Oryctolagus cuniculus: one gene and its partners. The protein of the gene in region 1 purifies or fractionates together with the protein of each later gene. This does not show direct contact. Links are inferred from orthologs where the notes say so. Each region holds a gene or a part of one and is shown on either strand. Other genes may lie near its edges. The genes, in order: DBN1, HOMER3, GSN, TMOD1, TWF1 and HOMER1.

The links.
Region 2: the proteins of DBN1 (region 1) and HOMER3 purify together in Homo sapiens (co-immunoprecipitation; 3 studies listed by BioGRID and IntAct, counting the BioPlex papers as one, with this or other methods). This does not show direct contact. The link is inferred for Oryctolagus cuniculus from reciprocal best matches to the Homo sapiens genes DBN1 and HOMER3.
Region 3: the proteins of DBN1 (region 1) and GSN purify together in Homo sapiens (co-immunoprecipitation; 3 studies listed by BioGRID and IntAct, counting the BioPlex papers as one, with this or other methods). This does not show direct contact. The link is inferred for Oryctolagus cuniculus from reciprocal best matches to the Homo sapiens genes DBN1 and GSN.
Region 4: the proteins of DBN1 (region 1) and TMOD1 purify together in Homo sapiens (co-immunoprecipitation; 3 studies listed by BioGRID and IntAct, with this or other methods). This does not show direct contact. The link is inferred for Oryctolagus cuniculus from reciprocal best matches to the Homo sapiens genes DBN1 and TMOD1.
Region 5: the proteins of DBN1 (region 1) and TWF1 purify together in Homo sapiens (affinity purification with mass spectrometry; 3 studies listed by BioGRID and IntAct, with this or other methods). This does not show direct contact. The link is inferred for Oryctolagus cuniculus from reciprocal best matches to the Homo sapiens genes DBN1 and TWF1.
Region 6: the proteins of DBN1 (region 1) and HOMER1 purify together in Homo sapiens (co-immunoprecipitation; 3 studies listed by BioGRID and IntAct, counting the BioPlex papers as one, with this or other methods). This does not show direct contact. The link is inferred for Oryctolagus cuniculus from reciprocal best matches to the Homo sapiens genes DBN1 and HOMER1.

The regions. Positions count from the first base shown.
Region 1 is NC_091437.1:63,463,139-63,467,840, forward strand, and holds the start of DBN1 (drebrin), read right to left. Parts: upstream 3,147-4,702; 5' UTR 3,139-3,146; coding exon 3,023-3,138; intron 1,103-3,022; coding exon 1,047-1,102; intron 433-1,046; coding exon 320-432; intron 170-319; coding exon 95-169; intron 1-94. UniProt on the Homo sapiens protein: Actin cytoskeleton-organizing protein that plays a role in the formation of cell projections. Required for actin polymerization at immunological synapses (IS) and for the recruitment of the chemokine receptor CXCR4 to IS.
Region 2 is NC_091447.1:65,895,403-65,900,280, forward strand, and holds the start of HOMER3 (homer protein homolog 3), read right to left. Parts: upstream 3,070-4,878; 5' UTR 2,928-3,069; intron 2,308-2,927; exon of another isoform or gene 2,154-2,307; intron 1,989-2,153; exon of another isoform or gene 1,553-1,988; intron 776-1,552; 5' UTR 734-775; coding exon 720-733; intron 626-719; coding exon 469-625; intron 314-468; coding exon 182-313; intron 1-181. UniProt on the Homo sapiens protein: Postsynaptic density scaffolding protein. Binds and cross-links cytoplasmic regions of GRM1, GRM5, ITPR1, DNM3, RYR1, RYR2, SHANK1 and SHANK3.
Region 3 is NC_091432.1:225,314,279-225,318,456, reverse strand, and holds part of GSN (gelsolin), read right to left. Parts: intron 2,407-4,178; coding exon 2,236-2,406; intron 1,668-2,235; coding exon 1,493-1,667; intron 609-1,492; coding exon 484-608; intron 289-483; coding exon 211-288; intron 1-210. UniProt on the Homo sapiens protein: Calcium-regulated, actin-modulating protein that binds to the plus (or barbed) ends of actin monomers or filaments, preventing monomer exchange (end-blocking or capping).
Region 4 is NC_091432.1:201,381,912-201,386,089, reverse strand, and holds part of TMOD1 (tropomodulin-1), read right to left. Parts: intron 2,948-4,178; coding exon 2,840-2,947; intron 555-2,839; coding exon 411-554; intron 1-410. UniProt on the Homo sapiens protein: Blocks the elongation and depolymerization of the actin filaments at the pointed end. The Tmod/TM complex contributes to the formation of the short actin protofilament, which in turn defines the geometry of the membrane skeleton.
Region 5 is NC_091440.1:134,928,422-134,932,599, forward strand, and holds part of TWF1 (twinfilin-1), read right to left. Parts: intron 3,140-4,178; coding exon 2,961-3,139; intron 1,463-2,960; coding exon 1,367-1,462; intron 1-1,366. UniProt on the Homo sapiens protein: Actin-binding protein involved in motile and morphological processes. Inhibits actin polymerization, likely by sequestering G-actin. By capping the barbed ends of filaments, it also regulates motility.
Region 6 is NC_091445.1:3,261,987-3,266,956, forward strand, and holds the start of HOMER1 (homer protein homolog 1), read right to left. Parts: upstream 3,062-4,970; 5' UTR 2,066-3,061; coding exon 2,061-2,065; intron 1-2,060. UniProt on the Homo sapiens protein: Postsynaptic density scaffolding protein. Binds and cross-links cytoplasmic regions of GRM1, GRM5, ITPR1, DNM3, RYR1, RYR2, SHANK1 and SHANK3.

The DNA of each region.
Region 1 (4,702 bases):
TTCAGACAGCGGTGAGCCCCATTCCCGTCACCACTCAGGGCACAGCCGCAGCCCCCACCCAGGTTGGGGGTGGTTACCCTGGGCCCGCACTCACCTGGAAGAATTCAGCCACCTTAGCCACGTGGCTGGCACAGGCACACTTGCGGGCATCGGGCACATCTTCGCCGACCTGTGAAGTCCCCAGAGAAGCAGGGATCAGGAAAGGAGGAGAGAGGCAGCAGCCCGAGGCCCCAGGGCCCAGCGGGTTTGCTCGCCCCGCGTCAGCGGGCAGAGGGGGTGCAGGGCTTCGCACTCCCGTGCCCGGCCGGCGGCTGCATACCCAGTTGATGAGCACGTATTTTGGCAGAGCCGCCTGCGAGTCCTTGACGCTGCAGAAGCCGTACATCACCTTCTGGTTCTCGAAGTGGCCTGAGAGCTCCTGCAAGCCCCCTTCTGGGGGAGTCAAGAAGGCGTCAGGCCTCTGGGCCTCCTAAACCCTGACCCAGCCAAGGGCCTGGGACCCCAAGGAAGGACTTCGGTGGGCTGGGCAGTCACCCTCCAGGAATTTTGGGCCCTGAGCACGGGAGGTCCCCCAGAGCTTCGCGCTGTGTGCTGGGGGTGCCTACAAGACCTAACTTTGCCTCTGAATCCTCCAGGGCCCCAGGAAGCGTCTGTTCTTCACACTTCCTTCCACATTTCTCACTCTCCACACACTCATCTCCCCAGGTGCTAGTGCCCAGAGAGGTCAGATACAGCTCTCGTTAACAAAGCCTTCCGGGTTTGAGAATGTGGGGCTGACCTGGGCCATTCTTGCTGGCCCCCTTCCCTCTGAGCTGTGGGACTTTGGACAAGTGGTTTTCCGTCTCTGAGACTCCATCTCCAGGATCACACAGGAAGCAAGAGCCCCCTCCCGGCCCAGCACGGGGCTAGTAGGGACGACCAGGAGGAAGACAGCCCCCAGACCAGTACGGGCGGGAGGCTGGCCGCGCGAAGAGCCAGGCGGTGGGGAAGAAAACAACCAGAGGAGGGGGCGGGAAAGAAGGCGGAGGAATGGCTGGAATTCTTACCTCCGGAGGCCGCCAGCTTGAGGTCATCTGAGCCATCCTCATATGTGTACAGAGCCCTGGGGAGAGGGAGGGGAGGCTCCTGGAACTGTCAGGGCTCAGGCTGCCAAATTTGGGTGGGGATGGCTCTGGGGAGGGAGAGGGACACAGAGGGGATTGGGCGGAGCGGGGAGGCTCCTGCTGTCACCATGACTACAGGGCCGAGGAGTGTTTCTGGTTGCAGCCCGGCAGGGTGCATTCTGGGAACCTGGTGGAGGCCTGGGTCAGGTGCAGAGCAGAGAATCAGGGGCGAAGCCGCTTCCTGATGGAGCTCAGCGCGTCCAGCCCCGGCCCTGGCAGCCCACAACCCAGCGGAGCGGGTGTGCGATGGAAACTCCAAGGCAACGGTTCCTTGGTTACCGTTCCCTGGCTACCACAATCCTCATCCCCCATTGGCCAGGGCCAGGAACCTACCTGGCGCACGCCTTGGTACCCGAGGCCCCTCCCCTCTTGGAGAAGGAGGGGGAAGAGAGAGAGAGAGAACCTAGTGATCGCACAGCTCTGGGCATCCCCCGGTAACCATGGCAACTCAGCAATTGGCACTCGCCTGGCCCACCAGAGCTGCATTCTCCTCTCACACAAAGGACCCCAGGGACCCGCCCTCAGACTCCATCTCCGCCTCTCAGAAATGGGGATGAGGTCACTGCCCAGACACTGGCCTCAGGGTGGCCTCACCCTCCTGGTCTTCCAGACCCTAGGCCGCCTCCGCCCTAGTGGGGGCCTCCTGGGACTACCAGCTTCCGGCCAGAAAGCTGACCTAGCAGCCTTCCTCCCCCCACCCCGCCTCCTTTCTCCTCCTGCCTGGCTTCTTCTGCCCTGGCTCTTTCTCCCTGGGCGAACGGCAGAGCATCCATTTCACGGAAGGAAATGCAGAGACGCCTCCCATCAGGAGGCGGCCCAAGCCGGGGACCCACTGGGCGGAGAGGCCTGGGCCCTGTGCCTGAGGCTCAGAAGAGCTCAGACCCTTCTCCAAACTCCCACCTCCCCACTGCCAAAGCAGGAGGCTGGGAGATGCCAGGAAGACAGGCAGGAGCCCGGGGGGCTGGAGAAGAGAAAGGGAGAGGCAGTGACAAGGAAGAAGAGAAAGGAGGGAAGTGAAGGGGTTAAAAAGGAAGGAGGGAGGAACAGAAGGAGAGAAAACCAGGAGGGAAGAGGGAGGCACGGCCCCATCCCCATGGGTCAGCAGTGCCAGAGCTGGGTGACCCCCAGCCCCTCCTCTTCCTGCCTCCCTCCCCTCTCTGCCCCCAGCTAAAAGCACAGGTGGGCCCTGGGCTGGGAGCTCCTGGCCCAACTGTTGCCCCAGCCCAGGCCCCGAGGACAGCTGCTTCCGGGCACAGCTGTCCCACCACCTGTCCAGCTGCCCTAGCCCCTGCTGGGAACAAAGGGTTCTCACAGAAGTAGGGTCTGCCCCTTTTGTTTGCAGATGAGAAACTGAGGCAGAGCCCAGGGATTCTAGTTCCTAGACACTGCTCTAAACATCCACAGGTCCCAGGCCACTGGGCCGCTGGTCTCAGCCAGGGGCAGGCTCTCTGAGGCTCACCTCCCCACCACCCCTTCCTGCTAGGGCCGTAGCCCTCCCCCAACCCCCCAACCCCAGAGGAACCCACCGGAGGTGCACCCTTCGCCCCAGCCTGCCCTTCCCCTCACACCACACACGAGCTCCCTGATGGTTCTCAGCTCCAGTATGCTCTGGAAATGTCTTCCCAAAGCCTTTGTTCACAAGGCAACCTTCCCCTCCACGCCCAGGACCCGGGACCAGCCCCCAGCAGCTTCCCTGCGCTGCACCTCCCCTGGGCATCTGTCATACACCAGCAGAGACAAGAAGAAGCACCTGCGCCCACCCCGATCCGATGGAAACAGTCTTCTCAACCCCATTTCAGACCCCCTGGGCCAGGGTGAGAGGGGTGAAGCTGGTGAATCCACAGGGAATCAGCACACACCTCCCCAGCTCCAGCCCCTGGAGACAGGCAGCGCCCACAGGGTGAGCTTTGTGAAGGCAGGAACTCAGGTACCACACACGGCTCTGGGGGTCCCCGTGTCCAGCGTAGGGTGACATTAGTAGCATCTGTGATACTGTCACACGCTTAGAAACTATCTAGGCCAAAGAAACTGGATTAGGGTGAGGTGGGAGCTGGAATGTGGTAGCTCCAGGAAAATCCCGGGGTCAGCCGGGGCTGGGGGTGCAAAGACTGGGGTGGGTGGGTCCCTTCGGACCACCACACTCAGAGGCTTAAGCTGAAAAGACCTCCCCACACTGAGCCCAGTCTTCTCAAGACCAGAGAGGAGCAGGAACTTGTGAGCAGTCACACCGTGAGTCATTCCACAACGGGGCATCATGGGCCATTTCTGCTGTACAACCTCACTTCCCGGGGCTCCGCTCCCAGTGTCAGGGGCTGTCTATCTCAGAGGCCCTGCCACCCAGGAGCAAACCCCCTCCCGCCCCTCCTTCTCCCCCACTGAAGCTGCTCCCCCCATTCAGAGGCAAGGGAGGGGAGGAAAGTGCCAACTCCCCTTTGCCCAGACAGCAGTTTTACCCAAACGCCCCTCCCCTTGGACTGCAAGTGCAAGCTGTTTGCCCTGAGCCTGAGACCTCACGGTCTCCGGGCTCCACGCTGGTTGCTGGGGGCACTTGCCGCCCCTTCTACAGTATGTGATGCTCACGCCTTTCTCAGCAAATGCCACGTGGGCCCTTGGGATCCAGCATATGTGTGTATGTGCAAGGGTGCATGTGTGCATCTGCGTGTGTGTCCCACACACAACACAGATGGGGGCTGACGCATGCCTGTGATGAATAACTCGCCCTGGCCACGTGGAAGTTGCTGGGAGGTGGGGGCCCAGGCTGCTGCTGGCCAGGATATGGGGCAGCAGCGGCTGTGTGGCCCCAGCACCGGGGCACCCGAATTCGGGGAAGGGGTAAGAGAGAAGGGGGTGGTGAAAGTGAATCCCCCCAGACCCAAGGGCAATGGAGACCTTCAGCCTGGACTACGCCTCTCCAACATCCCAGGGCCAGCTCCTCCACCGGCCAAGCCGGCCACTTGCCCAGAACTCCTCCTATGATCTCAGCACCCCTGGGGCAGGGCTGGGACAATGGGTGGGCCGCCTGCCTGCTTAGCCTGTGCCGGCCCCCTCCCGTGACCAACCTGCAGGACACCACAGCTTGCCTCCCGCGTCCATCCCTCCAGGCCTGGCCGCCGGCCAGTGCTGCAGCAACACAGCATGGATGCCTGGTCATCCTGAGCCCTCTGCCAGCCCCCAGGGCCATCGTGTCCCCACCTTGCTGCTCCAGTGAGGTCCCTCAGACCTGCACTCACACCCGGCCTCAGCTTCTTTGGAAAGGGCTTGGGGAAGAAGGTCTAGGAACAGGATGGGCTCCTGCCCTGAGAGAAGAGTGAGTCCTCAGGGTGCCAGTGAATCCAGGATGGGGCAGCAGTTGAGAGCAGGTGGTGGTCATCCCCTCCCCCAGCTGGGCGGGGTGGGAGGGCTGGGGGGGGCAACACCGGGGAGGGGGAGAGGTGCAGCAGGCTCATTCATTACAGGGAAGCCTGCTGCAGGGTGAAGGGGCCGGAGGCCCTACGGATGTCCTCAACCCTTCCCTGCCCTGTAGCCGCGGAATCGCTATC
Region 2 (4,878 bases), on another chromosome or scaffold:
GCACGGAGACAGCCCGAGGGTCCCGCACAGCAACCATGAGCATCAGTCCCCAAAGAGAAGCAGGGAGAGTCCAGCGTAGGCGCAAGGAGCCAGCAGGACGGGCGCTTGAACTAGGGGAACCGGACTCGACTCATTCTGCGCGCCCATTCTGCAGCCTGGGAAAACAGAGGCCCAGGCGCACCTGGGTTAGATGTTGCTCCGAGGCAAAGCCGAGGCCGTAGACGGTGTTGGCGCGGCTGTCCGCCCACTGCCCGAACTTCTGCGAGGTTTTGGTGAAGGTCATGTTGGGGGTGACGGTGCTGTTGATGACGGCCTGGGGGTGGGGTGGGGGCAAAGTTGACAGGCGCTAGCAATGGTGACCTTGAAAACTCTCCCCCATTTGACCTCGCAGGGGTCAGTGGGGGGGGTTCCCATGCCCCGCGGCACACGGCAAGGTGGGGGGACCAGCCCCAGGACCACACCCCCCACCTTGGCGCCTCCGATGCTAATGATCCGGTAGACGTTTCGGGTGGCATCGTAGAAGTAGGACACGGTGAGCGCATGCTTGCCCGCGGGAATCCAGTTCCGCTTGGTGGCCGGGTCGATCTGGAACACGTGTGCCCGAGTGCTGAAGATGGGCTGCTCCCTGCGCGGGCAGAGCGTGCTTAGTGGGGGGTAGGGGTGTGCTGGGTGCCCCCCCGGGGGGGCTGGGCTCAGGGTCAGGGCAGCTGGGCGCTCACCTGGCTGTGGACATTGGTCAGACCGGGCTGGGTGGCCGGAGCTGCTGGTTTGGCCCCTGTAGAGAGGGGAGGGGCCTCTGAGTGCCCCCTGTGCCAGGGTGAGGCGAGCCACCAGCAGGTGCACAGACCTTCAACCAGGAAAGTGCAGAACGGGAGCAAAGGGGTCCCATCCTCCCCTGTCCGGGGGCAGCGCCCACAAAACCCGGTGCTCGGGGACTCCTGACATCCCAACCTGGCCCTGGGTACCAGACCCCCCCCACAGTCCCCCCTCCATCCTGGGGCTATGCTCCCGACCTGCCAGCACCCATCCGTCTCCAAACCAGGGCCCTTCCGCCAAAATGTGGGGCGCTGCCAGGTGCCCGGAGACCAGCTCCCGACCGAACTCCCAGAGAGTACCCCTCCCCCCCCCGCAGTCACCCTGGGGCACCGGCGCACCTTAAAGACAGAGTCCAAATCCCCAGGGACCCACCCCCCCATCCAACGCAGGTGCCCTCCAGGGTGGGGGCAGGGCAGGATCCAGGAGGGGGCAGAAGAGGGTCCCCCAGTCTCCCTGTTGCTTCCCTTAGCCGCCACCCCCAGGAAGCTGCCCCCAGGACCCCCAGACCTGCACCTGCGGGGGACCTCCGAGATCAGAGGCCGCGATGCCCCTTCCCACAGGCTGCTGTGGGGGGGGGGGGGTCCGAGGCTCAGAACACGGAGCCCCTCCCCACCGGCAGGGGGAGCGGCGGCCAGGGGCGGGTCCCGGGCGCGGCAGGATTAGGGGGGCGCAGAGGTGCCCTTCCGGCCCCGGGCCCGCCCCCGCCGAGACTGGGGCGTTGGGACAAGTTACTCACCCACGGGTCACGCGTCCAGGACGCCGCCGAGCGCGCCCGGGCTCCCGCCGCGGGGTGGGGGTGGGGGTTCGCCACCTCCCGGGGGCCCGGGGCAGAGGCCCCACACCCTATGCGCCCCGGACTCATCCGCCGGGGGTAGGGGACACCCCGGGCGCGCCCCCACCTCGGGACGTCGGAGATCCCCGCGAGAGCCCCAGGTCCGCGACTCCGGGGGCCACCTTCCCTGCCACCCCCACCGCCCGGCGCGGAACTTCGGGGACACCCTGCTGACGCGGACCTCGGAAAGTCGGGGATCCCCCCACCCCGCGCGCGCAGCCTCCTCCGACGCCGGGTGCGGAACGTCGGGCACCTCGCGTGCCCAGCCGTCCCCTCCCGGCCCCCGACTTCGGAACTTCGGGGACCCTCCCCCGCCTCGGCCGCCTCTCCAAGCCCAGATCTAGAACTTCGGGGACCGCCCCCTCGCGCCGCCCCCCGCCCCAGTCCCCAGGTCCGGAACTTGGGGATCGCCCCGCGGCTTCCCCCCTCCCCCCAACCTCCGCCCGGGCCCGGGGACTCCGAGGCCCCCCGCGCTCCGGGCGCAGGATCGGCCGGCCGGGCTCACCCTGCCGGGTCTGCGCCCCGCTCGCTCCCAGCCTCCGGGGCCCGCGCCCTCCGCGCCGCCCAACGCGCCGCCCGCGCCTTTGTCTGCGCCGCCGCCGTCCGCGCCGCCTCCGGTCCCATCGCGGCCGGTCCCGACGCGGCCGCCGCCCGCCCCGCCTCCCCGGGCCGCCGAGGCCGCCCCGCTGCGCCCCCTGCTGGCCCCCGACGGCGGGCGGGGGAGGGGGCGGGGGAGGGGTGGGGATGGAGAGACGGACGGAGACGGACGTCCGGACAGGGACAGGAGGCGGATGCGCAGAGCTGGAGGGGGGTGGGGGGCTCTCGCCCTCGGGCCTGGGCTGGGGGGGCAGCCGGGCGGGGCTCAGGAGCTGGGTGCGGATTCTGCGCCCAGGAGATGCAAACAGTAGGTGCTCCATAGGGGTTACCACCGAAAAGAGGAGACGTGGGTGGGGCAGGGCTGCCTGCCTGGGCCCCTGGGTCTCCCCGAGAGGACCCCAGGCCCGCAGGTGGAGTGACCCACGCTGGCCACGCTGCTGGGGGCAGGGCCTGCCCCTCCCCCCCCAACACGCCTTTCTCTGGGACTTTCTCCGGATGCCCCCCCCCCCCCCGCCACTGTTTTGGGTTCATGGGTTCAGGTCCTGCAACAACTCAGCCCAAGGGTCCCCGGGGCTCTGGGCCCCACCCCCGAATCTTCCCACAGCCTCAGGGGCTCCCCCCCCCAGCCCCCGGCACCCGTGTGTCTCGCTACCCAGAATCCCCCAGCGCAGCCGGTGGCCACCTTTCACGAATGAACGTTGGGTGGATCCAGGGTCCGGCCGCCTCCACGCCTCCCCACCCCGGACGCGCTCCGTTCCTGGGCTCCGAGGCTCAGCTCCGCTGTGGTCCGCCTCCTCCAGGAAGCCTCCCTTGGTTCTCCCAGGCTTGAAAGAGACTCTCCCCCGACGGCCCCATTGCTTCCCAGGGGCCTCCGTACCGTCCCGAGCGCCTTGTGACCCCGCGTGGGCCCCTCCTCCGGGGGTGGCCCAGCTGCTGCTGCACCAGCCGAGGGCCCGAGGCACAAACTCTCGGGAACACGGGAGCGGGGTCTGTTCTGTCCACAGACCGACCTTTCCTTAGGCCCAGCAAAATCATTTTTTTTTTTTTAATAACTAAATCGGTTTCTGGCAAGCCCGGGGCTCCTGGAAGCCACCCCGGGTGTGCCGAGTGCTGGGCCGGCTGCCCACGTGGGTATCAGGGCGGGGGAGGGGAGAGCAGCTGGGCAGGGGCCCAAGCTGACTTTGTTCCTAGCGTAGGCAGAAAGCAATGGTGTCTGTGTGTGCGAGAGAGGGAGAGAGGGAGAGTGAGCGAGCACCGAGTGGCTGCACTGAACCCCATTCCCAGCTTCTGGGAGGGGCTGGCACCCGGTTGGCCTTGAGCAGCCCTGACCTGAAGCCGTCACAGCCGGGCTTGAGGGGGTGGGCGTGGTTCCCTGGGTGTGGACCTCAGTTTTCACCCCTGGGAAATGGGTGGATGCTGGCAGGGCCGGAATGAGCGGTGGGGAGGGGAGGAGGTGGTGTAGACCCGGCTGTCCCCCAGTGGTGGAGACAGGAGAAAGGGCTGCCCCGAGCCTCTGCCCCACCCCCACCCCAGCCAGAGCCCTCCCCTGTTTTAATGTCTCTGGTCCGAGGGTCTGGGGAGGGGCTTCTGCTCCTCCCTGGAGCGCTCCCTTCGGCCCAAGCAGGGGCCCAGCCTCCCGGGTCCCGCGCCTGTCCGTGCCAGGGTTCAGCTCCCGTTCACCTCCCGCGTGGCTCTGTCCTGCTCCTGGATCAAGCCGGACCTGCAGCAGACACCACGCAGGCTTTCAGAGAGAGAGGAGCCCCAGTGTCTGCCAAGCCCCCTGGGGGCAGCAGGTGGCACCGGCTCAGGTACTCGGGCCCCCACCACAACACCAGGGCCGGGCCGGGCTGAAGCCAGGAGCTCCCTCAGGGCTCCCATGTGGGTGCAGGGGCCCAAGGACTCCAGCCATCTTCTACTGCTTCCCCAGGTGCATCAGCAGGAGCTGGATCAGAAGTGGGGCAGCCAGGACTCGAACCCGGTGTTCGTATGAGAGGCTGGGCCACCGTGCTGGCCCCCACTTGCCCCTTTCTTTCCCCTGTCCCCCCTCCCCCGGCCATAGCAATTTGGTCCAGCTTCCAGACTTTAAGCGCTTGGCAAACTCCTATTCACTCCTCAAAGCCTCACCTCTGTGTCCACCTCTGACTCCCCCCCGGGCCTGAGTGCACCTCGAGAGCTGAGACAAACCCGTGTCCTCCCAGCACTGGCTGGACGCCTGGGGGTCAAGGGCGAGCGAGAGTGTGATGCCTCGGGGGCACAGCCGCCGGAGACCCTGCCTCAAGTTCAGAACTTGACCTCTGACTCAGGCCAAAGCGAAGTCACTCCATTCCTTCTGGCCCAGGCCGGAAGGGGTTAACAGGCAGGTGGGGGCCCAGCCCTGGGTTGAGGACCCCAGGTCCGGGGTGGGGGGCGGGGTGGAAGGCAGCAGGGGCTGGAACCATCCAGACTGGACCCCAGGTTCCGTTGCCCCAGACCTAATTACCCTAATTGGCCACGTGCGCTAATTACCAGGTGGCTGGGCGGGGCCGCCCCATTTCCGGGAGGGAGGTTGGGGCCCGATTATTTTTGGCCGCGTTGTCCTTGAAGTCTCGGCCGACGTCCAGGGGGAGGACAGAAAGTGGGGCGGAGGAATGGCG
Region 3 (4,178 bases), on another chromosome or scaffold:
TGGCCGAGTGAATGAGCAAACACGTGAACTAACGCATTAAGTGACCAGTGGGACAGCGCTGCTATGGGCGTCACCACTGCTATTTTACAGGGGAGGAAAGGGAGGCTCGAAAGGGCAGGGCCTGCAGCAGCTCGGGGACTGTCCCAGCAGCACCTGCTGCACCTGCCCCAGCGGGCTGGGGGTCTAGCCTCTCCCCTCGCCCTCGCTCACCTGGTCCCAGGTGTCCAGGAGCATGACGTCATCAGTAGCCAGGTCTTCCTGCATGAGCTCGCCGGGAACCTCTTCGATCTGGAAAAGAACAGAAGTGAGCAGAAGGGATTGGTGAGACATCCTCCCTTCCCGGGGTGGGCGTCCCGCGTGTGACCCCGAACCCCGGAGCGAGCGGCACGGCGCGATCGGCCAGCAGGGGGCTCCAGTGCCTCCTCCCGGCCCCATGCTGCCCACCCGCCTAATGCCTCCCGAGGTGTCCACGCAGGGGCTCACCACAAAGCGGCCGATCTTGTTGGAGCAGGCAAAGAGGCGAGGAGGGTGGGCATCCATCTTCTTGTCCTTCAGCCGTGGGGACGTGCGGTAGGCGGCCTTCCCGCCCAGGGCCTCCCAGAAGCCATCTGTAAGGGGAGGCCACAGCAGCTGCCTAGGGATGCCGGCTGCCCCACCCCTCGCACCAGCCCGGCCAGCTGCTCCCCGGCCGCACCTCCTTCTTAAAGCCCCAGGGCCAACAGAGAAGGGGCCCAGGGGAACTTGGAGGGCTGACTCGGCAGCAGACACACACCCAGGACAACTTCTGGCTTGAGGCTGACAACAAGCACCACAAGATGGGGGTGATTATCCCCACTCAACACTGAGGCAGCTGAGGCTCAGAGAGGTTCAGCAGCTCACCCAAGGCCACACAGCTAGTCAGTAGTAAAACCAGGATGTACATCTTGTCTGACTCCAGTCCCCATAATCTTCCCACTATACCTAATCTAGTTTGAACTGTCCATATGTGGCTACTTCAATTTAAATTCTTCCTAATTAAAAGTCCTGTTCCAAGGCTGGCACTGTGGTGCCACTGTGGTGCAGCCGGTTAAGCCTTTGTCTGCGGCACTGGCATCCCATATGAACACCAGTTCAAGTCCTGGCTGCTCCACTTCCAATCCAGCTCCCTGCTAATGCACCTGGGAAAGCAGCAGAAGAGGGCCCAAGTGTTTGGGCCCCTGCACCCATGTGAGTGAAGCTCCTGGTTTCAGCCCCGCCCAGCCCCGGCCATTGCAGCCATTTGGGGAGTGAACCAGTGGATGGATGATGATCTCTCTCTCTCCTTCTCTCTCTGTAATTCTACCTCTCAAGTAAATAAATAAATAATCTTTAATAATAATAATAATAATAAAGTCCTGCTCCTCATCTCCACTAATTCCTGCCAGGCACATCATCATTGCTCAACAGTGCTCAACAGGGAGGGAAACCAACAGCTGCAGGCCCCAGAGAGCGGCAGCCCCATCCCAGCTCCTACCTGGCTCGCTGCCTTCCGCCACCTGCACAGGTTGGGCCCGCAGCACCCTGAGCAGCTCCTGGGCCCCCGTCTTCTCTGCCTCACTGGCTCCTGCACCTACCCACAGGTAGGCGGCCGACGGGGTTTTCAGGACAAAGGCGTCGTTGGAGTTCAGTGCACCGGCCTTGGGGATGACCTGGGAGGGCAGCGCTGGATTAATCGGGAAGCAGACAGAACGCAGGAGAGCCTGTGGCAGACCCAACTCATGGGCGGGGCCTTAGAGAAACTCACCCCAACAGACCTGGGGGTGCAGACTTCGCCCATTGAGGGGATTTAACTGACCCCCTTGAATCACTAACACACTGTGGCCAGCCAAGAAGATCCTAGAATTCTGGGCTATATTATCAGAGGGTGAGTGCCCAAACAAAGGAGGTTATAGTCCCATTCTCCTCTAGGCTTCTCAGGCCATCCTGGACAACTACATCCAAGTCTGTGCCTTCCACCGTGCAAGGGACCATAGCCAACAGCAATGCGATCAGGAACAGTGCCCAGGCTGTCTAGAACAGTCTGCATGGAAGGTAGTGATCTGCCCATTGTGGAAGGTATCCAAGGGGCCCTGGGGGGAAGTCCAAGACAGACCAGCCCGCTGCCGGGGCTGCTTCACCCAGCACCCAAGCACACCCTGTCCTGTGCCTGGATCTGCCCATCAAGCGTGGAGGCCCAGCGAGCGCAACGCCTCCTGTGGGCTGGGACCTGAGTGTTACCTCAACAGCTCGCGTGGCGCCGGAGCTGCTGGCCCGGACCTGGAAGAGGCGCGTGCTGGCAGGGGCCGTCTGGCCGCCCTCGCGGGAGGTGCCCCCCTTGTAGATGATCATGGGCTTCCCGCCGAACAGGCTCATGAGGTGGGCGGGCTCCTTGCCCTGGACCACGCGGCTCTGGCAGGGAGACAAAAAGGTGAGGCGGGGAAGCTGGGGGTGGGGCGCCTGTGCTATGTGGCACTGGCCTGTCCCCACTAGGAGGCCAGCACACTCGTGTCTGCGTGTGGCATGGGGCCTGAGGCCGGTGTGCCCAGAGGGCGGGAGACACTGCCTTGGTTGCTCTGACACCCTCCCCCACCCCACCCCAGTCTTGCTGACTCCTAGAAACAGGAGAGTGCTGTTTGCAAACATCCCCTTAAGCGGAAGTGCCGGGACTGTCGGCGGACACTCTTCCGGAATGGTGATGCCAGCCTTGGGCGCAGAAGCCGGAGAACCTTTCAGATCTAGAGAGACCCCTCCTGCACGGCCAGGGCATTGTGGACACAAGCCGCGGGCAGGGGGCTGGGAAGTGGGAGGCAGGTGGCCCAGTTCTAGCTCAGCTGCTCCTGACCTGCGTGTGTGCCTTCTCTGCTGGGAGCTCAGGTCAACCCCACCCCAGCGGCGAGAACCCAAACGCGTGCCCCAACCACCCAGCTTCTTCCTCCGTAAAATGGGGCCAAGGACGCGATTCCTTTCGAAGGCCGTTGCTGGGGTGCAGTGAGCTAAGCCGGCCATCCTGTCACTCAGGACCCAACACTCAGACGGCTTCCTAGGTCGGGGCACTGAACCCAAACCCAGACCGAGCGCCCTGCCCACGCCCAAGGGGAGGACGGAGAAGGCGGAGTTCTTGACTGCGTCCCCCACATCCTGCCCCGTGGTGTGGCTCTGCTGCCCTCCAGGGCGCTGCACAGTAGCCAGGATGACCTTGTCATGGCAGCTTTGCCACGCGGCTGCTTCCTGTCCTTCTCAGGAACGAGGCCGACCGTGGCCCCTGTGCACATCCTTCCAGCTCACACCGTGGTACCGTCTCCCTCGCTTCAACTCCCAGTGCTCCCTCCCACCTCCGGGACTGCACGCCCTCATCCCTCGTTTCCTTCATGTTTGGCCCGGCTGCCTCCTACACGTCGTTAGGCCCCGGCTGACTGCTCAGAGGCGGCCTTCACTGAGCACGCGAGATCCTATCTGGATGGAGGTCCCTACCCTTCAGGCCCGTGGGAGGGACCCGGCCTCCTGTGCCGCGTGTGGCTCTGGACGCTCTCCAGATGTCACCTCAGTCCTCACAGCAGTCCTGGGAGAGGGGTACTACTGCCATCCCCATGTGGAGAACATGGGCGCATGCGCAGGCTCAGTGAGTTGCCCAAGGTTGTCTGGAGGGCAGTCAGGACTCAAATCCAGTGGGCTGACTCACAGCCAAGCTCTTAACTGCTCTGCCACGTGGCCCCTCTCACCGGGGAGAGAGCATTTCCACTGGCCGCACACTTCACAGCATGTGGTGGTATGTCCTCAAGTGTGCGTGTGTTTGCAGAGTGTCGATCTTTCCCTAGAACGTAGAGCCCATCAAGGCAGAGGCAGTGTCTGTGTGTCATGGTTGCAGATGCAGTGCACGCACAAGGAAGCCCTGCCTAAATAAAGATCTGTTGGATGGAGGGATGGAGGGATAAGTAGATAGGTAGATGTATGGATGATGAATGGACGGATGGATGGGTAGGTGGATGGGTAGATGGATGGGTACGAAGATGGATGGATGGATGGGGGTGGATCAGTAGGTGAATGGATGGGTAGGTAGATGGATGTGTGGGTGGATGGATGGGTAGGTGGACAGATGGGCCAGTGGATGCATGGGTAAGTGGATGGATGGATGGATGGATGGATGGATAGACAGACAATTAGGGATGAGTAACCTGAGGGAA
Region 4 (4,178 bases), on another chromosome or scaffold:
AGATCAGAGACGACAGATACCAGGTGTGTCGCTCAGAGGCTGGCCCCCAGGAATCCCTCAAGACATGTGACATCCCCAGTAGTGTTCCCCACACACCGCTCCAAGTCCCCTCCTCCTGCAAAGTCAGAACCGAAGGAGCTGCCTGCGGATACATGGCTCAGCCACAGGTGTGACAGTCACTCTGCAAGGCTGAAGACAGATGAGAATCTGCCCCCATTGGAACCCTCAAGGCAAGGAGACTCAAAAGCCCTGTGGAGTGGGAAGGGGGAGGGGCTTGTGGCCTGGTGGTGGAGAGCCCAGCGGTGTGGACTGAGCCACTGTGCAGGCCCCTCGAGCCTGGGGCTGGCCGCTCCCGGGGGCAGCGTGCAGGCAAGTGTGGATTGGCACGTGGTGGCTCTGGCCCATCTCACCTGGTTGTCGATCTTCAGCTCCACCAGAGAAGTGTTGTGGGGCAGGGCTTCCACCAGGCGCAGGATCCCCGCTCCAGAAATGAAGTTGGATTCCACGTTGAGCGTCTTGAGCACCTTGTTCACTTTGAGCATCTCGGCAAGCGCCTTGAGCAAAGCAGGGGTGCCCGTGAGTCCCCCCACCCCCACCCCCCCCACCCCCGAGCGAGGCCGGAGCCCCTCGTGGGGCTGCAACTTCACAAGCCGAGGGCAGCAGGCAGGACCATCTCCCCACCGCCCTTCACCGACTGCAGCTGTCCCCGAGTCTCCTCCCCTCCTCCCTGCCACGGCCGCCGAACCCCAGCCGCTGCTCAGTCTGCACCCAACGCTTCCGGGGCCTGGGCCTGGCACTCCGCCCTGTCTGGCTTCAGCTCCCGCCGCCCCCATCGCTGGGGCCACGCGCAGTTCCCACGAATATGCCCAGGGCTTCGGCTCCTTCCATCTCTTGCCTTTTTATCTCGCTCACCCTTTCAATGCTGCCCTTCCTTCAAGCTGTTCTCAATGCCTCTCTCCCAGGGGCTTCTGCCGACCTCCCGAGCCAGCTGTGGCCTGCTCTCGGGAACCCGTGCTGCATTTTACTATACTTCCCTTGTGGGACGCGCACACCTCTACTCTGCTGTTATCAGTGCCATTGGACCACACCCTCAGGATGAGCTGAAAATGGGCCTCATTTACCCCAGGCCGCTCAGCACGTAAGAGGCCCTCATTCATCGAGTGAGCCATGGGGTCTCCAGTCCTCTCTATACGCTGCACTTGTCTCTTCTGCTGCTCTGTTACAAGGGCACGGAGACACCGTCTGTCCATCTGGGTACCAGCAAGCCTAGGAAACCACCCCACTGGGCAAGTGACCAGGGCCGGCGGGGGGAGCAGAGCTCAGGTGGCCTCCAGCACGTTTCGGAGGGACCCGGCCAGGGGTGTGGATGACGGTCGGAGCCTCTGAAGGAAATGAGGTAATTAGCAGCTGGTGGAAACGGTGCGTCATGGAGGAAAGAGGACACCGGCGGCTGAGGCCCGGGACATTCTGACCGGCGGGCCCTGCTGTGTGAAGTGACACTCGGGGCCAGGAGCGCCTGCCCATCGTCCCCGTTTGCTCAGCTCCCAGGGAGCCTTCCATGTGGAAATCACCGCTCCCTCTGGAACTCCCCATGTCAGCCCCCTTGGTGGACCCACACTGTCCGTGTCCCCTCTGCGCGCCCCAGGAGAGCCTGCCCTAACCACCAAAGACTTTATCAGCCAGGAGACAGTGGGGCCAGACCAGTCTGCTTAACTCTTTCTGTGCTGGAGGGACAGAGGAGGGGGTGGGGGCACGGGACAAGAGCCAGGGCAGGCAGCGGGCTCTGGCAGCTTCTGGCCCAGCAGCGTCTCAGTAGTGGACAATGGGAATACTCCTATGAACGGGCTGACATCAGCTGTTGGTCTGGCACAGGGTCCATGCCCTAGATACACTCAAAGCACTGAGCTGAGCCCTGCATGGATGTGCTTGGATTCTGGCCCATGACCTGGTGGAATACAGGGCCAGTGGCTTTGCCACCTGTGTCACCATGGGCAAACTCAGGATCCACTGGAGGGCTACTGAGGTCAGAGGTCACCCACCCAGAGGTTCCCCACCGGCAGCAATGATGGGATGCTGGGAGCTATTTTTATCATTTCAAAAATATGGCAGGAAAATTGTCCTGTCCATTTGCAAAGGCAGAAAAGGCCCGATTGCCACTGAGTGGTGAACTGCCAGCCCTGGTAGGCTGATTCCTGCTCTGGGGGGCAGTAAGACCCCTGTGCTGTCCTCCTTCAGTCGTGGGCACAGCCACACGGGCCTGTTTGCTCCTGAACGTGGGAGCTGAGACTGTTTGGACACAGCCGTGTTTGTGTCACTGCTGGGCGCTCCGAGGAGCTCAGTGCGTATGTGTTGAATGTTTGGCAGTAAAAAAAAGAATTGATGGCTACTTTGCAGTAAATACAACTTAATTTGATTGCCATTTTCTTTTGAGACATGGGTAAGACACAAATACAGTGAGTCATTTGGTCCTACCGATCTCTTTCTATTGACTGATTTCAGAGTAGGAGACGTCGAGGCCCCGGGAGGGGCAGTGCCTCGTGGACACAGACCTGGCTTTGGGGGTCACATGACTACGTCTGAGGCCCAGGCCCACCTCTCTTTCTGTGCAAAGTGGGGAGACCTGCACCGCTGAGACCAGAGCTGGCTGGGAGGAGGCGTGGCAGGGGCCCAGGCAATGGCTGTCCCATCCACGTCCCCTCCCACCTCCTGGTCCAGTCTTTGCACCACACACACCCCCCAGGACACATTCTCAGTGGGGTCTGACCAGTTCTGGGGCCAGAAGCTTCACGGCTCCTGGGTCTCAGCCCCGCCTCAAATGCCAGAGAGGAGCAGTACGTACAAAGGCCACGGGGTCGTTGCTCCGCGTCCCCACGATGCTGAACTTCTTCACGTGCGAGTTGTCTTTCAGGGCTTCTGCGTACGCCTTGAGGGTGGGAATGGGGATATTCTGCAGAGAGAGGGGCAGCAGAAAGTGACCAGCAGCCCCTACTGGGGCCAGGCTGGGGCGGGCTCAGGGGCGGTGACTCTCACGTGGGGAACCCAGTTCCTTGCTGATTCCCAGTGAGTCTCCATCCAGAAAAACTGAACGGCTTTGTCTCAGATAGCTGAGATCTGGGGAGAAGTTTCTGGTAAACTGATTGGGAACCAAGCCCCTCTGGAGACTTCAGAAGGCACCTGTGGCTCTGTGTGTGCACGCGGAAGCTGGAGAATGAGGCAGAAATCAAGGACTGGAGACCTCAGCAGTGTCGTGCAGAGGGCTCGGGGACAGGGGCTGGTGGAGGTGGGGTCTGGCCCCTGCCCCAGTGGTCAGTGATGTTTCTGTGTGACTCCGGGGACATCTCTTCCCCTCTCTGGGTCTGTTTCTGGAAAGCAGAGATGGGGGGGTTGCACACGATGCCCTCAAAGAGATGCCAACCCCAGAGGGCCCGGCTCTGGCCGCACATCAGAGGCTCCTGGGGAAATTCTACAAAGCGCTGACGCCTGGTGCTGCCCGGGACCAGCGTGCTCTGAATCTTGGTCTCTGCAGGTGAAAACCACTGATGTGATCCAACCGCCTCAGGAGAGGGGAAGCTGAGGCCTGGAGGGGGCTGAGTCCTGGGCGGAAGCCTGGCGGTGAGGTCCCACGCCCTGTGTTGCTCTGTATCTTGATTCTGAATGGTGCCAGCGTCTCCCGCCGGGCACACGGCAGCCAGCTGAGGCACCTGAGAGAGAAGCTGGCTACGTGTCAGCCGCTCTCTCATTTCAGAGTGTCACCCGAGCTCCCGTGGGAGCAGAGTTGGGCAGCCAGGTGGTGGAGGACACCAGAGCACAGGTTTCCAATCTGATGGCGCCAGGGGCGGGAGGGGGAGGGGGCTGGCAGCCGCTTGAAAGAAAGTGGAGAAGACAGGAAAGAGGAGCAGGAAGTGAGGGGCTAGCTTTGGTCTCAGCCCCGCTCCCTCCCAGGGCTAGTCCTGCCGGCCTCTGTGCTGAGCAGGTGCACGGGCAGCCGTCTGGGCAGTGTGGGACTGCCTGTCCACCCGTCCCTCCTCTGCCTGGTGGTCCCATAGGGAAATGGCCACAGAGGTATGGGCAGCCAGCCTGGGTGTTTCTTGGGCCACTGGTGGAATCCGTGACCCCCTCTGTGGCTGTAAAACGAGGCTGACTCTGACCCCGACCCGGCGTCAGTAATGGTCCTGGGA
Region 5 (4,178 bases), on another chromosome or scaffold:
CTAGTCCCAGCTGCTCCATTTCCAATCCAGCTCTCTGCTATAGCCTGGGAAAGCAGTAGAAGATGGCCCAAGTCCTTGGGCCCCTGCACCCACATGGGAGACAGGGAAGAAGCTCCTGGCTCCTGGCTTTGGATTGGCGTAGCTCCGGCCATAGCGGCCATTTGGGGGGGGTAACAACTAAAAGAAGACCTTTCTCTCTCTCTGTCTCTCCCTCTCACTGTCTGTAACTCTACCTCTCAAATAAATAAATAAAATCTTTAAAAAAAAAAAAAACTTTTTAAGGGAGAAGAGTACCTACTCTTCATTTGCTGAAGTTTTTATCAGAAAATCTTTTGTATGAAGTTTGTTGGTGGTGATGCTAGCCAATGAACCTGGTCATGCTCAAGTCTACAAAACAACTGTAATTAGCCTTTAGGGGGAATGGCCCTATAATTATCAATAATCAACCTTTATATTCTGAGTTATATGATTATTTAAGTAATTTTTCTGTAATTATTCAGAGGAAATTACCACACTTTTTATATAAAGAGAAAAAAACTCAAAAGTGGTCTACCTATCAAAACTTCACAGTTGGCTGGCGCCGCGGCTCAATAGGCTAATCCTCCAACTAGCGGCGCCGGCACACCAGGTTCTAGTCCCGGTCGGGGCACCCGATTCTGTCCTGGTTGCCCCCCTTCCAGGCCAGCTCTCTGCTGTGGCCAGGGAGTGCAGTGGAGGATGGCCCAAGTGCTTGGGCCCTGCACCCCATGGGAGACCAGGAGAAGCACCTGGCTCCTGCCTTCGGATCAGCGTGGTGCGCTGGTTGCAGCACGCCGGCCACGGCGGCCATTGGAGGGTGAACCAACGGCAAAAGAAAGACCTTTCTCTCTGTCTCTCTCACTGTCCACTCTGCCTATTAAAAAAAAAAAACAAAAACAAAAAAACCACAGTTTGAGACTGAGGCTTATAAAATTAAATTAAGACCACCTTACAATCAATCGTAAACACATTCCCATTTTGAATTGTGTCCTACCCACTAGATTACATTACGTTCTGAATCAGAAAAGCTCTAAACACACACAAACTGTTCAAAAATATTTCAATTTTCTTAATTTTTGTATGTATACCTAAACACATGTCATTACCATGTAAGTATTTTAGGATAAGTGTATTTCAATACCTTTTATCCTCAATGTCAAAGGTACAAATGAATGAATTCAAAATTAGTGATATATTAGCATTAACTTGTCTGATATATAAAAAAACCACCATTTTCTTTTAGTCTTAGGTTTATAGATTCATCCATGCAGCTTCATATCAATTATGCATTACCTAGGAGTTCTTCATCAGTCATTCTAATTGTATCATTGAAAACCTAGGTTTGTACCTTCACTGTTCCAAATACTTCATCTTTAATGTGGCCACCTCCAAACTCTTTTTTCAGAGTTGCTCTTGTTGCTGCATACAACATTTTTTGACGAACCTATTCAGTTGAGAAAATTCACAATTAGACATGAAAAGACATCATTAAAAAAGGAATATTCTGAATGTAAAAAAAAAATCTACAAGTACACTGAAAATAAACTGTGCTAAAACTGAAGCCCACTGACCATAACATGCTAAACGTGTACAAACAACCATAAAAACATGAGCCTCCACATTATCGATGACTATTAAGGTAGATTTCAATCTATGTAACTTTGTTAAAATGGAAAAAATATAAATTCTTAAAAACTCCTCATTTGTCAAAGCATAAAATGAGCTCAAGAGTAACAACCTACTTAAAATAGGGTCTTAAAGAGAAAACACTGAAATGAAGTAACCTTGCTGGCAACATTTTACTCAAAGCTAGATCAGATATTACTAATCAGGCTGTCAAGCATCAACTATCCAGGGCTCACTTATGGCATATACCATTCTATCAGGGATGTGGGATAAAGGGAAATATACTACACACCAATAAAACAGAGTCTGGAGAGATCTATGGCAAGTTGCTAACAAAAGCTACCAATTAATAGAAATAATTTCATAATCCTGCAGGGTCAAATGCAGTATTTCTTTGTGGGCAGTGTTTGTATTTCTTTAACTGACACAGAATACTTGTCCATTCAGAGGGTACCACCAGGCAGCGTTTTGTTTTGTTTTGTTTTGTTTTTTTTGGGGGGGGGGGGCAGGCAAAGTTAGAGAAAGGTCTTCCTTCCGTTAGCTCACCCCCCAAATAGCCGCTACGGCTGGTGTGCTTCAGCTGAGACGCCGATCCAAAGCCAGGAGCCAGGTGCTCCCATGCGGTGCAGGACTCAAGGACTTGGGCCATCCTCCACTGCACTCCCGGGCCACAGCAGAGAGCTGGACTGGAAGAGGAGCAACCGGGACAGAATCCGGCGCCCGACCGGGAGTAGAACCCAGGGTGCCGGCAGGGCAGGTGGAGGATTAGCCTATTGAGCCGCGGCACCAGCCACCAGGCAGCATTTTAACCCAGGGATACATGTGCAATGATCTGGTCACAGTAAGGAGTGGAGCTGTCACTAAGACATGTATCACTTCTGTGTGCTGGATCATATCCTCATCTTATCTTCTGTTCTATTTACCAAGTCTACAATCCTAAAAGAAATACTTGCTGTGCACATGTCCATTAACAATGTATGGGGAATAATAACAAAATGTAATACTCAATTAGTCCTCAGATTTAATACAATTATCTCTCAGGACAAAATAGCTTCATTCTTCAGAGGCCCATATCATTTAATATACCAGACAGTAAAATTAAAAATTTTAGGTAAATGCTAATTATTTTGATTTCAAGGGCAAGACTTCCGAATCTAAGTACATTATCCTGATTTTACATAAGCAATTCAAAGAATTTCTCTATGCGCATTTCCTTCTATGGGAAATGACTACTGCTTCTTAACCTTGACTTGGCCTAGAAACATTCAGAAAAATGTCCTTCTATGATTTAATAAACAAATTTAAAAATTACTTACATGAGAATGATCTGGAGACCAGGCAATGAATATCCATTCATATCCCTGGGCATTCTGAGAATCTAACCTGAATAATATGTAGCATGGCTGTTTGTCCTCCAACAGGGGTAAAATAAAAGGATCATAATCCTTATCCCAAGAGTCTAAAGGCTGACGAGAGGAGCCAATCACAAGTTGCTCTGTGAAAAGCAGTATTTAAAGATATATAAATGGTTTGAAATACCAAGTGGTAGTCTGATAAACACTAGGAGAATAAATTAATATGTAGTTATTTCCAAATTACTGTTACACCAAAAGTTGAAAAAAAAAGGTGGTAACAGAATATAATTACAATATAAAGTACTATTAAAACAGATATTAAGATTTTACGAACAGCATGATTGAAGTATTTAATATACAGCACAAGAAAGGAACACATAAAAACGATCCTAACAGTTAAGCTGAATGGTTAAATAATGGGTGAATACAGTTCTACTTTCCAAAATGTCTGGGCTATAAATTATCAACAAGATATATTTAAATAACTGTACTGCCGAGGCCAGCGCCATGGCACACTTGGTTAGCCCTCCGCCTGTGGCACCGGCATCCCATGTGGGTGCCGGGTTCTAGTCCCGGTTGCTCCTCTTCCAGTCCAGCTCTCTGCTGGGGCCCGGGAGTGCAGTGGAGGATGGCCAAAGTGTTGGGCCCTGCACCCCATGCGAGTCCAGGAGGAAGCACCTGGCTCCTGGCTTCGGAATGGCACAGTGCCGGCCACAGCAGCCATTTGGGAGGTGAACCAATGGAAGGAAGACCTGTCTCTCTCTGTTTATAACTCTACCTGTCAAATAAATTTAATAAACAAAACTGTACTGTCAGCCAAAAACACCATTTCTGAAATTAACACTTAACTACATATACGAAGGTGTATTACATAAAGTCGGTTTAGCTCCTGTTTGAGCACAATGCTATAGATTTTAAAATCTACCCAGAAGCCTGAGTTGGTACAATCACTGTGTGGTGATATTTGGCAGAATGAGGTAAAAGTGTAACTGAACCTGCACAGAAAACCTGTCGGACTTTTGCACAAAGGTGTTCACTGCGGCAGTATGCCACAACAGTGAAAACTGGGAATGACTATTCATCAGGAAAACCATGGACATGTAATACGTGCACAGCAACTAATGAGTGCTCCATAAAAGCCAATTACAAAATTTACAGGAAAAGGAAAATTCAGAGTGA
Region 6 (4,970 bases), on another chromosome or scaffold:
TTTTTTTTTTCTGCCTAAACTAACCACCCATTTTGTCAAAAATAATTCCTCTGCTTAGACTTCGCGCCAAGACGTTCAATGATATGCCTAATGAAGGCAAAGATAAACTTACAACAACCTGATGTGTCTGTAACAGGTGAAACTCTTCACCCACAGCCCTGACCTGTAGGCACCAGTCAGAGCCAAAGAGCTGGGACGGCCTGGGTGAAACGTTACAGCCTTCCTCAGGGTCCGGGCAGCTTGGCTCATTCCACAAACATTAGCTCCGGCTCCGGCCAAGCCCGGAGCCTTCCTCAAATGCCTTTGCTGCCTGCTCCCAGCCTGGCCCTCTCAACAACTCACGTGACACAAGTCACAGCAAAACTAACAGCACACTCACTCTCCTTTCTCAAGTCAGTCCTTCACGAAAGAGCAAACAAACGTGCTGCCCGTCTAAGTTTCATTATGTTGCCTGTCTACACGCGCCTGATCCTACCTGAAGGGCTTCCACAGGGTAAACACCAGTGCTCTCATGTCAACTTTACCCCACATTCCCTTAGCACAATGCTGAGCTCGACTACGCAAAACGGGTTTTCTTCCATGATGTTCCCACCACACCGTCTACAGAGGACGCAGCCTTCAACACGGGAAAAAAAAAAAAAAAAACTGCCTATTTTTTTTCTCCAACACATTTAAACAGAGCCACTGATGCTTAAGGGAATCCATATTTCGAAGACCCTCATTTAAAACTGGTATTCATCTGGAGCAGTTTCCCAATGCTAGCACTCTCCCGTGTCAGCACTTCAACTGCCATCCGAAACAGCTACTTCAAGAAACCAGCCGGTAACCATTGAAACGGGAAGAAGGGTGAGGAAAGAAAGAAATTCATTTTCACGGGTTGGAGCCTTTTTAAAAGGCCACCTCATGGAACTCCTTCATGCCACAGAAACCACGAGTCAGGGAGGCTAACCTGCTTCCCAGCACTAAGCTACTAACAGCAGCACCAGAAACAGGACTGCTGACTTAATTACTCTTAGCGCTGCCCCACACCAGGCAAGTTCAGAACACTAACCATTTAATGTTTCAAACATTCAGTTCCTCAGAACGGACTCCTACCTCGTGTATTCTGAACTGTCCAAGTCCACGAGCTTCAAGCGTAATTGCAACAGAAAGACCCTATCCAAGAACTTTGGTCTGGGAGTTTCAGAAAGCGTGGCGACAGCCCTGGACCTCAGAACACAATCAGAATCCCCTCCTTCTAATCTTGCCCTCAACTACACCCAGCGTAGTTGTTTAACCACAAAACAAGGAAGATTCTGGAAGTCCCCCTTAGACCGAAAGCACGGGCGATCTATCACGGGCAGGAGTAGCTCATTACTCCAGGGTTATACGGGTTTCCAGCCTGCATGAGGAGGTCGCTAGGATTTTAAGCAGCGACAGTGTTGAGAGCGAATCCAAGGTTAGGAAAATGCACTCTGGACTGGCTTTGGGTGAGAAGGCAGGAGAAGGAATGACACTTAACACAAACAGCAGGTCTGAGCGACACAGAAAAAAAAAAAAAAAAAAAGGAGAAAAAGTGTACAAGTTCCTTCCACCAGGAGCCTGTCCACATCCGATCTCCGCCCCGCGCGCCTGCGACTCCCAAGTGTCCATGCCCAATCAATCGACCCCACGCACTTCAGCTTTGGCTATTCAAGGGCAACACAGAGGGCAAGGCGGGGGCAGCAACGACCGAGCGTGGATCGCGCCCCCGGCCGGAGTCCGCCGCGCCGGGCTCCGGGAGGCGCCGCCACACACCCCCAGGTCGCGCGGTTCTGCCCGGAAACCCAACCAGCTGCCAGCCCGAAGCCCGAGCGGGCAGCGGCGGCCCCGCGAACGCGCCCGCGGAGCCCACACTCGCCGGGACGCGCGCCTTCCCTCCGACTCCGGAGTCACTCGACAGAAATAGCTCGCGGAAGGTGAGCGCGCTCGTGGCTGAAGGCAGGGCCAGCTCGGCGAGGCGGCAGACGCGCCGGGACGCCGCGAGCCCAGCACCGGCAGCACGGCCGCCCACCGACACGCGGGTGCACACACATCCTTACCCCATCTTGCCCAGCGAAAACTTGCTCGCAAGTTCCTGCTCGCGGCGACGGGGTTAGCCGGCGGGCAGAGGGGCTGCTCCGAGCGGCGACCTGGCCGCGCCGCCCCCGAGGTCCCTCGGTGCCGCCGACCGGTCACTCCGTGCTCCCTCGGAGACACCCGCGCGTCCGGACACAGGTGCACCCGCTCGGCGGAGGAGACGGCGGCCGCGCTACTCCACGGCGGGAGCCTCCATGGGGGAGGACCGGAGCCGGCTTCACGGAGTCCTCGGAAACACGGCCGCGCCGCCCATTCCGCTCAGGCCCCTGCACGCCTGGGCAGGGCCCGGGAAGCCGGCCTTCTCGGCGCGGGGGCTGCGGGTTCAAATTTCTCCACACCAGGTCCCCGGGGGGGTGGAGCGAGCGAGCTGGCCGACGTGCACTTCAGCAAAAAAAAAAAAAAAAAAAAAAAAAAAAAAAAAAAAAATCCTAGCAGCAGCAGCAGCAGCAGCAGCCGCACCGGCGCCGCTGGCCCGCGCTCCCGTCGGCAAGACCCGCACAGCACAGCCTGCTCCGAGCGCACAGCCGGCAGCGCGCGGCGTGCACGGCGCTCCACATCGGAATCTGTCTAATGCCTCCCCTGCGAGGACGCGGAGCGGGGAGGCGGCGGGGAGGCGGGCGCGAGGGCTGGGCAGGACCGAGTCGCTCTCCCGAGCGCGAGCAGCGGGGCCATGTCCAGGCCGGCAGCAGGCTGGGGGCGCCGCGCGCCCGCGGCAGCAGGGGGAGGCGGCGACCCCACCCCCTCAGCCCCTTCCCGGCCCCCGCCGCCGAGCACAAAGGGGCCCGGCGGGCGCCCAGCTCCGCAGCCGCCCTGCGCCCGCGGCCGAGCGGCGGCGAATGAATGAATCAGAGCCCCGGCGCCCTGCCCCCGCCCCGGGCGCGGAGGGCCGGCAGAGGCGAGCGCGGCCCGCTCGCTCAGCGCCCGCCGCCGGCCTCGAGCCCGCCCGCTCGCCGAGGGGAGGGCGCCGCGTCCCGGTCGGCGGCCGCGCGGGGCAGGGGCGGGGCGCGGGCGGGGCGAGCGCGGGGCGCGGGCGGCCCCGGCCCGGCCCGCGGCGGGGAGGGGCTGCAGCGGGGCTGGAGCGCGGCGGGGGCGGCCGCGGAGCCCCGCCCGCGGGCCCCGCCGACCCGGAGCGCGGGAGCGCAGGAGCGCAGGAGCGCGCGCGCGGGGCGCGGGCCAGCCGGGCCGGCCGTGCGTCCTCCCTCGCCCCCGCCGCTAGTGGCCGGCGGCCGGCGAGCTCCGGGCCGCCGCCTCCGCGCGCCGCCCCGGGTGCTCGCGCTGTGCCTCCATCCTCCCCGCAGGAGGACCTTTAAATAGCAACGTCAGCGCGCTCTCGCCGCACGCGCGTCAGCCGCCGCTCGCGTCACCCGGTGCGGGGGATGATGTCACGCGGCCGGAAGTCCTGCTAAATTAGGGACGGCGCAGGGGAGGAGGAGCGGGCGGGCTGCCTGTGCCCACCTGCGCGGCTGCTCCTGAAAGGCCACCGCACGGGAGAGGGCCCGCGAGCGGCGGCGGGAGGAGGGGGCGCGCCCGCCGCGAGTGACTCACTCCTGGCGACGGCGCGGGCGCGGGCGGGGCGCGGGCTCCCCGGCCGGCACCGGCGGGTGGGTGTGGGCGGGGGGACCCCGGTCGAGAGGCTGTCCCCGCGCGGGGAAGTGACTCGCGGGACCCGGGCGACTCTGGGGCTCGCCCCTGCTTACCCCGAGAGGGCCGAGCGCGGAGCCCTGAGCGGCCGTCGGGGCGCTGGACGGCAGCGGTCACCGCCCTGACCGGGGACGCAGGCCGCGCGCCGGCGGAGTCGCCCTGGTCTGCGGCGGGACCGTGGGTGAGACCCGTCCGCCCGGTGATCGTCCTCGTCCACACGGCCGGTGGCACTGGTCCCCACGCCCCGGTGTGGCGAGGGGACGCGGGCCAGGCTGTGGGCTGGAGCAGTGGCAGCCCCGCTAGGCACCTGTTCGTTAGCGCGAACAGGGTCGGGTGAACCGAGATCCCGTAGGTACGGAGTTGTTTCTCCTGTCCTGCCTGGTCGGGCTGAGTGTAGGTGATGGCCACGTGCGTCTGTGTCTATAAGGGGATTTTATGAGGGCTGTTCAGTCCTGAGCACCACGGAGTCCCACTTGTTGTAGCAGAGTTGATTTGGGAGGTAGTTTCAAATAATGAGCTTAGGTTTGATTTTGTTTAGATCGATGATCATGGTCCAAAATGGAATTAACTGTGTTTAGCCGAAGGCCATGAGTGTTCCAGAGTTAATCTATAAAATCAGTGAGCATGTATTCCAGTCCACAATGCCGAAACACCTCTCGACATTAGAATTACTGGAATCCTAGGTGACCTGGGAAGTTCTGGATTTAGGATTAGCAACTTGTGAAGTGATTTGTTGGGACAGTTAGAAATCACTACCAGTGCAGCTCAAATACAAAAAGTCAACTTTTATAGAATGTATACCACGTGGAGACAGAGAGACGGAGATCCTACATCCTCTGGGTCACTCCCCAAAAGGCCACAAGGACCACGGCAGGGCCATGTGGAAGCCAGGAATTTCATCCGGGTCTTCCATGTGGCTGCAGGGACCTGGACTGGAGGTGAAGCAGCCCAAACCAGTGCCCATATATGGTGCCAGCCGCTGAACCCGTGGTGACACAACGCAGGCTGTGTGGTTTTTTTAAGTCACGTTTTAATGTGAAATTACTCACACAGTTCCTAATTAAGGGATATTGGGCTTGTGGCTTCTTACATTTACATTTTCTTCCTCAAGATTAAAGGACAGCAGTGATCTAAGAGCCAGTTTGCTACTGATGGCGGTTCCTGGTGATCCCCCATAGGTCACACCCCAGGTCCCGGCCCCACGAGGAGCCGGCCTTTGGAACTGACCAGCA